Linked DNA regions of Mus musculus: regions 1 and 2 are each reported to be linked to region 3. The links are microRNA targets in miRTarBase. Many come from high-throughput screens and were not tested one by one. Region 3 holds a microRNA gene; each other region holds the end of a gene's coding sequence.
Evidence for each region. Region 3 holds the annotated microRNA mmu-miR-465b-5p (UAUUUAGAAUGGUGCUGAUCUG, at 1,011-1,032, opposite strand). A microRNA usually pairs through its seed, bases 2 to 8, with sites in the 3' UTR of a target mRNA and lowers its output. Matches are read on the target gene's strand: a 7mer-m8 pairs with bases 2 to 8, a 7mer-A1 pairs with bases 2 to 7 and ends in A, and an 8mer does both.

Region 1: miRTarBase lists Cdc37 as a target of mmu-miR-465b-5p. The part of its 3' UTR that is shown has no 7-base or 8-base seed match.
Region 2: miRTarBase lists Setd7 as a target of mmu-miR-465b-5p. Seed matches in the 3' UTR shown: 7mer-m8 at 876-882.

The regions. Positions count from the first base shown.
Region 1 is chr9:21,136,977-21,140,233 of GRCm38, reverse strand. Cdc37 (cell division cycle 37) reads left to right here. Exons shown (of 8, transcript NM_001378796.1): 8 at 271-803. The coding sequence ends at 426. Among named protein-coding and RNA genes, the nearest start is that of Tyk2, 7.3 kb to the right of the region's middle.
Region 2 is chr3:51,518,609-51,521,865 of GRCm38, reverse strand. It overlaps Setd7 (SET domain containing (lysine methyltransferase) 7), which reads left to right. Exons shown (of 8, transcript NM_080793.5): 8 at 379-3,257. The coding sequence ends at 559. Among named protein-coding and RNA genes, the nearest start is that of Gm36008, 9.2 kb to the right of the region's middle.
Region 3 is chrX:66,834,801-66,838,057 of GRCm38, forward strand. Mir465b-2 (microRNA 465b-2) reads right to left here and starts at 1,042; the gene lies at 964-1,042.

The DNA.
Region 1 (3,257 bases), not on the chromosome of region 3:
GACCTTTGCTCCTGACCCTCCTGCTGCCACTTCCTAATTGGTGGGATCACAAGTGTGTACCACCATATCTGCTTGTCTGTGGTGCTGGAATGGTAGAGTCTCAGAACACTGGGCAATTGCTGCACCCGCTGAGTCACATGCTAGCTTCTGCAGTTCTATATTACCAGTCCTGGGTGGAGTGGGTGCTGAGCAGCCTTGAAGGAGGTGCAGGGGACACTGGGCATCATGCTGCTGGCATGGCCTCATCTGCTGTCCTCCCTCTCTCCACAGGATGCCAAGTATCACATGCAGCGTTGCATCGATTCTGGCCTCTGGGTCCCCAACTCCAAGTCTGGTGAGGCCAAGGAGGGGGAGGAGGCGGGCCCCGGGGACCCATTGCTGGAAGCCGTCCCCAAAGCGGGCAACGAGAAAGACGTCAGTGCGTGACCCTTCTCCGGAAAAGGAAACTTAGCCACCATGTCCCTAGCTCCCAACTTCTTCACTTGTGCTGCTCCTCACATCCTGGCCCATGGCCTGCCCCGTGTCCCCTCTCCTCCCACCTGTCCCCAGCGCTCATCAGACTCTCTGCTTCGGGTTGAGGGGCTCTGCTGTCTGCAGCCTCCTACCCCCATCAGCGTTATGCCAAAGTCCTGGGGGCCTGGGGAGGGGCAGCAGTTGCCAGGTTGGTCCACCGGGTTGGGGATACAAATGTCCCCATCTAGGCAAGGTCTGTCCCTATGGGTCTATGGTCACTGTTTTTCTTCTGTCTAGCTTCCTGTCCTGCAACTGGCAACAATGTCCAATAAACAGTTCCAGGTGCTGGAGGCCGCTGGTTCAGTGCTGTTTGAGGCAGAGGGTGAACCTAGGTGGGGAGAACTGGAGTGCTAACAGCCATCCATGCCTTTGCCCTGTCCTCACCCTTCAGAAGTCCTAGGCCTTCTGTGTCTCTCCAACTGTCTGTCTCAGCCTCCCCTAACTCCTCCCTCTGTCTCCCCTCTCCCCCTAGCACTCCATGGAGACAAGAGGACACGAGTTTGAGGGTAACCTGGGCATGAGATATATGTGGCCTTTCACACTAGACTTTGCCTCTGCTAGGGGAACATCTTATTCTAAATTTTTATTTGTGTGTGTGTACGCTCGCACGCCCGAATGTCTTTTTGAGATAGGTTTTGTATGTATCTTTGGCTGTTTGGGAACACACTATATAGACCAGGCTGGCCTCAAACTCAGATATCCACGTGCCACTCACTACCTCTTGAGTGCTGGCATCAAAAGCATGAGCCACTCCTGGCTTAAAATTTAATTTATGTGTATGAGTGTTCTGTACGTGTACATGTAGTGGCTGCAGAGGCCAGAATCTCTTAGAACTGTAGTTCCCAGTGGCCCTCAGTCCACCATGTGGCTACTTGGAGTGAACACAGTGTCCTCTGCAACATTGAGTCTTTTCTCCAGTCCTGGGGAGCAACTTTGAGGATTTCTCCTGTTAGAAAGAATGTAGCCTGGGGCTCTGGCTAGAGTTTAGTGGCAGAGCTTGGCTTAGCGTGGTTTCAGTTCCAGCAATGTTTGTTTTTTGTTTTTTGTTTGTTTTTTTTTTTTAAAGCACATGTATCATTCTGAAGAATGAATGAAACAGAAGGGTCATGTGTTCAAGGCCGGGCTAGGCTGACCAGTGAGTCACTGTCTCGGTGAAAATGAATTAAAGGACTTAGTTTACAGAGTGTTTGCCTAGCATTCAGGAAGCTCTGGCTTCTAGCCCTACCCTGCATAAACTGGGTGTGGTGCCACATCTGCAAATCCCAGGCCCAAAGTTGGATTTAATTCTGGAGTTAAGGGTGGTGGACTGAGAGGATAGCTCTCGATACAGAGGCCTGAGAAGACCTCAGTTTAGATACCAGCACCAAAATGCTGGACATGGCCGTGTGCACTTCCTGTAACCTCGGTGTCTTTGGAGATAAGACCGTGTCCCTGGGGCTTGGTGGCTGCAGGTCTTGTTTCAGATTGAGAGACTGTGAGTAGGAATAACATGAAGCATGATAGAGCAGGCCACTGGGCATCCTCTGGGTCCTACGGTACACAGGCACAGTACACATGCCTAATGCCGATGGCACACACAAAGCACATGGTTGTCCAGTCTGGGCTACGCGTGAGAAAGTAAACTTGCATGACCTGGTGAGATGGCTCAGCCGTGAAAGGCACTAGCCACCAAGCTTGGCAGTTTTAATTCCTACAGCATGCTACCTGCTGTCAGGAGAGAGCCAACTCAGCATACTACAGAAGAGTGTAACCTAAAACATAAAGTTAATAAGCAAATGAACAAACATGCAAAAATGGTGCAGTGAGCTGCATCAGTTGAAATCAGCCAAAGGCAAGATTCTGACCCTTCATCCATCCCCCTTTTAGGGCATTGTCCTCTGGGAACTGCTTCTCACTCAGGACCCAGCTCAGCCTTTGGAAGACAGCAAGCAGCTGATCTCCAAAATCTGAGGCAAGGCTAGTCTACATGGTGACTTGCAGGCCAGCCAGGGCTGCACAGTGAGATCCTATCTCAGGGAACAACAGAATGAAAAAACATTTTAACCAGCCCTAGCTCGGTGCAGTGCACCTCCCAGACATGTTCCTGGGAGCTCTCTGAACCTCTCACCTTTCACACTAGCCGCAGGACTGCCTCACCGGTGTGGTATGACCTGTAGACTACCAGGCACTATGAGCCTTTCCTTCCCTTCTCCCCTGAGACTCCCACAGCACTGGGAAAGGGGACTGGAGCACGCACAGTAGGCCCACAGAAAAGATTTGCAGAATGGCCAGAATGCTCTTGTGTCCAAGTGTCTATCCACCAGAGGGCAGGAGTGAGCCACAAATCTTTACAAGCCCAGTATTCTTTAGTTGAAAGGTAGGTCTGTAACTCAGTTCCAGGTGATCCAAACACATGGGGTGTGTGTGTGTGTGTGTGTGTGTGTGTGTAACTCAGTTCCAGGTGATCCAAACACATGGGGTGTGTGTGTGTGTGTGTGTGTGTGTGTGTGTGTACTTTAAGGTCATGAGCCATGATGTGGTTGCTGGGAATTGAGCTCTTTTGGGATAGCAATCAGTGCTCTTGACCACAGTAATTCCTCCAGCTCGTGATTTTTGAGATTAAGTCTCACTGTAGCACAGGCTACTCTGGAATTTGTGACAGTCAACCTACCTCAGTCTGCCTAGTGCTGTGATGAACATAGGTTGTGAGTTACTTTGACAGTCTGGTTTGGTTATATTTTTAACTCATTGAGTTGTCTCATAGC
Region 2 (3,257 bases), not on the chromosome of region 3:
TCTCCAATATGTGCTGGGGTGTTCTGGGAGATTTGGGGTTTTAATTTTAGGACAGGATGTTGTATAATCCCAGTCTGGCCTCAGACTCACTATGAAGCCAAGAGACTGATTCCCCTCCCCCACCTCCCGAGCACTAGGACCACCATGCCTGGTTTATGGTTATGCTGAGACGAGCCTTGGGCCCCATATGTGTTAGATGAACACTTTACCAGCTGAGCCTTCCACCCCAGACTGCCTAGAGTGGGTGCTGAAGCTGGTGGGGGTGTGCCCCTTCTCTGAGAACTCGGGAGTGACACCCAGTGCATGTGGGTGAGCCGCTCCCTTGGCACTGAGGTCCTCGGTTGACCCAAGAGTGACCTTTCCCGTCTTAATGTTTAGGTTTGTCCACCCCCGTTTCGGGCCGATCAAGTGCATCCGCACCCTGCGAGCTGTGGAGGCCGAGGAAGAGCTGACCGTTGCCTACGGCTATGACCACAGCCCCCCGGGGAAGAGTGGGCCTGAAGCCCCCGAGTGGTATCAAGTGGAGCTGAAGGCCTTCCAGGCCACCCAGCAGAAGTGAAAGGCTTGGCACTGGGTCCCAGAGACCTGGAGTAGAAACTTGGATCTATGCACTACATTTATCTGACAACGGGACAACCAGGGACTATTCATGCCATGACATCACATCCTCTCACCCTGCGTTAGCAACGACTCTCTCTCTCTCTCTCTCTCTCTCTCTCTCTCTCTCTCCCCCCCCCCTCTCTCTCTCTCTCGCATACTAACTAGGTTTGACTGTATTACTCGTACCAGATTTAAAATTAGCTAGCCTTGCCACAACGCCCTACTGAGAGGTACTGTCGAACTGTAGACAGCATGATGTTCTTTGATGGTGAAAGTCTAAATCTGGACCGTGTTCAGAGATACCAAATGATGAGGCTGAAAAGGGGAAACGGGGTTCTTCAGTCTCTTCTTCTTCTTTTTATTTTTTTTTCCATGATGTTTTCTCTATGGCCAGTGCAAATGGTGTTGTCACCCTTGCATGTTGCCAACCGCAGGGCAGGAAGCAATTACATCTTTATATACACGTAGGGTCATTTGCCTTTTAACCTTTGATCTGTATCTCTTGCAGTAGAATGGCTTTGTTTTTGTTGTTCCTCTCCTAGTGACCCGAAGCCCAGTGTTTTGAGTAATTTCTTTAGCTTCACTATACTAGCTATACTTTACAAGAGAAAGCTTCCACTTGGATTTTGCATTTGTAGCAGCGTACAGGTCTCTCTGGTCCTTTCTCTGCCATTTCACTCTTACGTCCTGATATAAAGTCCTGGCTCCTAGGGCCAGACTGTTATTTATAGACTTACTATTCTCGCATGTAAACAAGGATATCTTTGCTTTCAGATGTGAGAAGAAATGGATTTACCTTGTTTGCATCAAGTTATGGAAGGGTTTTAAGATACACTTTCAGGAAGAAGAGAGGGAAGTTATATCTAAGCAGTTGTTATGGCAACTTTGCAGTATCTCCAGTAGTGTTGCTAATTTTTTCTTCTTCTTGGGTACACATTAATTGTACATAACCTAGTACAGTCTGGCTTGTGACACACACAGCTCATTGAATTCAAACACAATAGCCAGTGTGCATTCTAAGGCAGAATGCAAAATTCTCTTTGAAATCAGTGTCACGAAGGCAGACATGCTGATATCGATAGGTACAAATCAGATCTCTAGCTAAGGCTTCTCGTCACAGCGGATTTCAAAGCATTTAGCTGCTTCCAAGAGTTCACACCTGCGCGGTTAATCCCGCTAGCGTCTCAGCCTCCTCAAGCCATATGTAATCACAATTGCAGAAGTACAGAGAAAACCCCATTATTTTACTTTAGCACATTAGATCTGTAATGTAACTGGGTCGCTCTGAATGAATGCCGAGTTTGGGGAACACTCCCCTCCCCCAAGGTGTCCATCACCGAGAAGGCCTGGGAACAACAGTTGCTGAAGCCGGTAGCTGTCCACAGTGCTACCTGTGGCCTGTGTCGGTTTAGGCTTAAAAGCTAAAGCTTTCCAAGCTGCAATAAAGGGCTCTGGGAAAGGGGAGAGATGCTTGGGAGTAGGTGGAAATGGAGAGAGGAGACAGGTAGAGAGCGGTTTGATATTCTGTGGTCAGTTGCATCTTGGTCTTCACAACTTTCAGGAGTGCTTTATCTGGGGCTGCGACACAGCTTTTCCATCAAGAGCCCCAGGTGGAGAACTCAGCCCTCAGTTGTGATAGCCACCCCTGGGCTCTTTCACAAGCTTCCTGACATACCTACCGTCAGGCTCTGCACCCAGGTGACGATGCTGCCCGGGAGTGCTAGTCACATCCCTGTTTGAAAGCTTAAGGAGCGAGTTCCCTCGGGAGAAACGTCCTCTGGACTTTCGAGGAGCCTCCTGCAAAGAGGACTGAATAGTTTTCAGACTGCAAGTCAGCAGGATAGGATGGCTTCTATTCTGTAGAAAGACACCATTCAGTAAACTCTGACAGGAGGCTGAGTCTGTGGGTTCAGATTCTGAGAGGAGCTTTTCTGTAAATGTGCCCAAAGAGAGTTGGCTGCTTTGGGGAGAACAATGGCTGAACTTCAGTGACCAGATGAGAAGGAGGACGGAGGACGAGAGAACAGGTTCCACCTCCAATCGCCCAGGCTCACAGGATTTCACACCTGGGGATGGAACCTTAGCCTCAGTTGCTGTAGGGGCTCAACCTCTATCCTAAAGGGCTACTCTAGCAATCTCATCCAAATGGGACTCAAAAACAATTTGGGGGGGCTTAAGGGCCAGCAAAAAACGTTTAGCAGGTAAAGGTGCTGTTGGCAAGCCGATGGCCTGAGTTAAGCCTTAGGACATATATAGTAGGAGAGAAACAACTCCTGAAGGCTAGCCTCTGACCACACCCAGCATGGCACGCACCCGCCCCTCCACACACACACACACACACACACATGTGGCTGGGAAACCGATCTACTTTTCCCATCCCACAGTGGAGGAAGACACACTGGACTTCAAACCCAGCAGCAATGTGTCGGTGACCCTTAGACACAGGAAGCAGACCCTCAGAGCCGAGCCTCCCTGTCTCCCCTCGCCCTGGGTTCCTGGTGCCTTTCAGCTCCTTTTCTTCTGCTGTGTGAGAAGCCTGGGTGTGTGTGTGCAGAATGGCAGCCCAGCCGATTGCTCCACCTCTTTCCTTATGTCTTAAGTTCCTCTTCTCTCTTGCTGGACTCTGTGCCTTTCCCTGACTGTGACCCATTCCAGTC
Region 3 (3,257 bases):
TCTATTTAATTACATTAGAAACCTTAAAGAAGTATTCACCAGTTGGTCTTCCCTCTTCTTGTGTTTTACAAATTGAGTATACTAAGCTTATGGGCTATTATCCGATGCTCAGTGAGTGCATAACTAACCACTTCTGTCATGATTGGGTTACTTCACTAAGGATGATATCCTCCAGATACATCCATTTGCCCATGAATTTCATAATCTCATTGTTTTTATTAGCTGAGTAGTACTCCAGTGTATAAATGTATCACATTTTCGGTATCCATTCCTCTGTTGGGAGACATCTGGGTTCTTTCCACCTTCTGGCTATTGTAATAAGGCGGCTATGAACATAGTGGACCATACCCTATAGGTAGAACAACAATATGAACTAAGCAGTATCCCCAGAGCTCATATGTAGCAGAAGATGGCCTAGTTGGGCATCATTGGGAAGAGAGACCTCTAGGTCTTGCAAACTTTATATGCCCCAGTACAGGGGAACGCCAAGGCTAAGATGTGAGAGTTGGTAGATAGAAGATCAGGGTACAAGGAGAGTATAGGGAACTTTTGGAATAGCATTTGAAATGTAAATGAGGAAAATATCTCATAAAATTAAAAAAAAGAATGAAACCTAAAATAAATGGATGTATTTCTAGACAAATATTATCTACTGTAGAGCAAATATGAAGGCTTGATCTCTTGTGAAGAGAAATGGAGGAGAGAATTAGATCTGGTGGACAGGGGAAGTGTAGGGCAGGGGCTATGAGGTGTGTAGAAAGAAGTAAGATAACGTCTGGATGTAATACATGAGGAAAGAATAAATAAATAAATAAATAAATAAATAAATAAATAAATAAATAGAAGTAAAAAAAAAAAGAATGTGGCCATGTGGAAGCTCACCTATAATTACAGAAGGCACATTACATGTACCTACAGATATTCTGAACATTCATCTACAAGTCATATTAAATGTATAGTTGGTAAGCCTTACTCTACTTAGAAAGGCCCTGATCAATTTTTTATTTCATCAGATCAGCACCATTCTAAATAGGGCATTGCATACAAAGCCTTTAAGGAGATGTTCAAACATTCATAAACAGTCTTGTTAGCTTCATCAAACCTCTAATCATAGCCGTTAAGGGCCAAGTAAAGGGTCATACAGAATCCTACTACTATAGAAGTTTCTTTTAATATATATACACATATGAGGAATCAAAACAAAGTCACTAAATAATAGGGAAACCATGCTCTCCACATTACAACTTTCACCATCAAGTGAAACATGCAATGATGAACTGTTTATATCTAGTTGGATCATTAACCAAATGGTTTCCTCCAGCAAACAACTTAGGCTATTGTAAATATTTTGTAAATTGCAAAAACTCTTCATAAGGTGATATTATTGAACAAGGAAGTCAGAGTGGTACCTGTAGAATCAGCACCTCTACTAATCAGCATTCATGGTACTGAAAGTTACTCTGAATGATACCAGAGGATAAATGTAACCATCAACACAACTACAAACCATGTGCTCTACATGGTGATTTGCCTACATGCTGTACTGGTGAAATAGTGGCACAAATGCAATGCAAGTAACTAATTAATCTCTCAATGGGTTTAAGGCCTGCTGTACAAGATGGAACCCATATCCTGGGGTCAAGAATCTAAGTCATGGGCCTAGGAAAGAAACGCATGTTCTATTTTTCTTCTAAATGTACAATTAAATGACTCCTAAGGATGTTCTCCTATACGCATACCAGTGTTTTGATCAGCCATAATTAAAGTTTCCTCTTACAGTGGATGGAAAAACACAGACCCAGAACTGGGCAGGATGCAGAGAATGAGAGAATTTGAATAAATACAGGACAATTTAAAGTAGGTATTGCCTCAGCTAGATCCATCACTCTTAGTAATTTTATCACTGTACTCCATAGAGTGTAGAATTTATTAACTGACCTTTACTCATAAACCCTAGAAAAAAAACCAAAATACTATTTTAAACTTATGCCTTTTCCCAAATTCCCTAGCCATTTTATCACTAAATTATGAAATAGTCATCAATGAATTTGGTACCTATTCCCCCTATTGTACATAAAATTAGTGTTCTAATGCTCCTGGGTAAAAGAAAGTAACTGCATATATACTGCCATTTACACCCAGAGCACAATTTCAGGGCATGATGATTCTTGTTTTTACACAAAGATTTGTTCTTCATGTGTTTATAGGACTGAAACAAATCAAGACTATAGCCTGGTATATAGTGCTGATTTCACGTATCTTTACCCTTCCCCATACTTTCAACTGTAATTATAACATAAATAAACATAATATAACATACATAAAGAAATAGCTTTCATCCTGTTCTACTCAGGAAATTCTCTCACCATCAAAATTCTCCCTGAAAGTACATTTACTCATGTTTTTTCTTTAAATGAATACTCATCTCTGTATCAATGCAATATGTTGACTACTATTTTCTTTTTTGACAACTTTACTACATTTAGTATATATGGCTTATTTGCTTTTATTATTTACCTTTGTTTTCTAACCTGTACATTTTACAGTAAACAATTCTATGGTGAATACACCCTAAGTTACATTGATGTCCAGACAGTTACAATGCATCCTGCTATCAAAAACGTTTATCTCTCACATGTTTGAAGTTTAAACCAAATTATATCACCACAAATATTGTATGAGTGAGATTTATTTCAGACAAAGAAGTCCTGAAAATATCTAAGTCACCTATGCATCATCAACATTAGTTAACTGTTTTGTACTGCCCGAACATGTCCCATCATATCCTAGAGACTTTGTCATACTCCTAGAAAAGACTTGGGACTGTTCACAGGGTCCCCAATGGAGGAGTTAGAGCAAATACTGAAGGAGATGAACGGGTTTGCAACCTATAGGAAGAACAACAGTATCAAACAACCAGAACCCCTACATGCTATGGACTAATCCACCTTCCAAGAGTACACATGGAGGGACCCATGGCTCCACCAGCATATATAGTAGAGGACAGCCTTTTTGGGAATCAATGTGAGAAGAGGCCCTTAGTCCTGTGAAGGCTTGATGCCCCAAATGTAGGGGAATGCCAGGGAGAAAAATTGGGAGTAAGTGGGTGGGTGAGGTAACACCCTCACACAAGCAGGGGGAGGTTAGATGGGATGGGGGGGATATTGGTAAATGGGAAAACATTTGAAATGTAAATAAAGAAAATATCTAATAAAAAAAAAACAGAACAGAGAGTGGTGAAATTCAAGAAATCATGT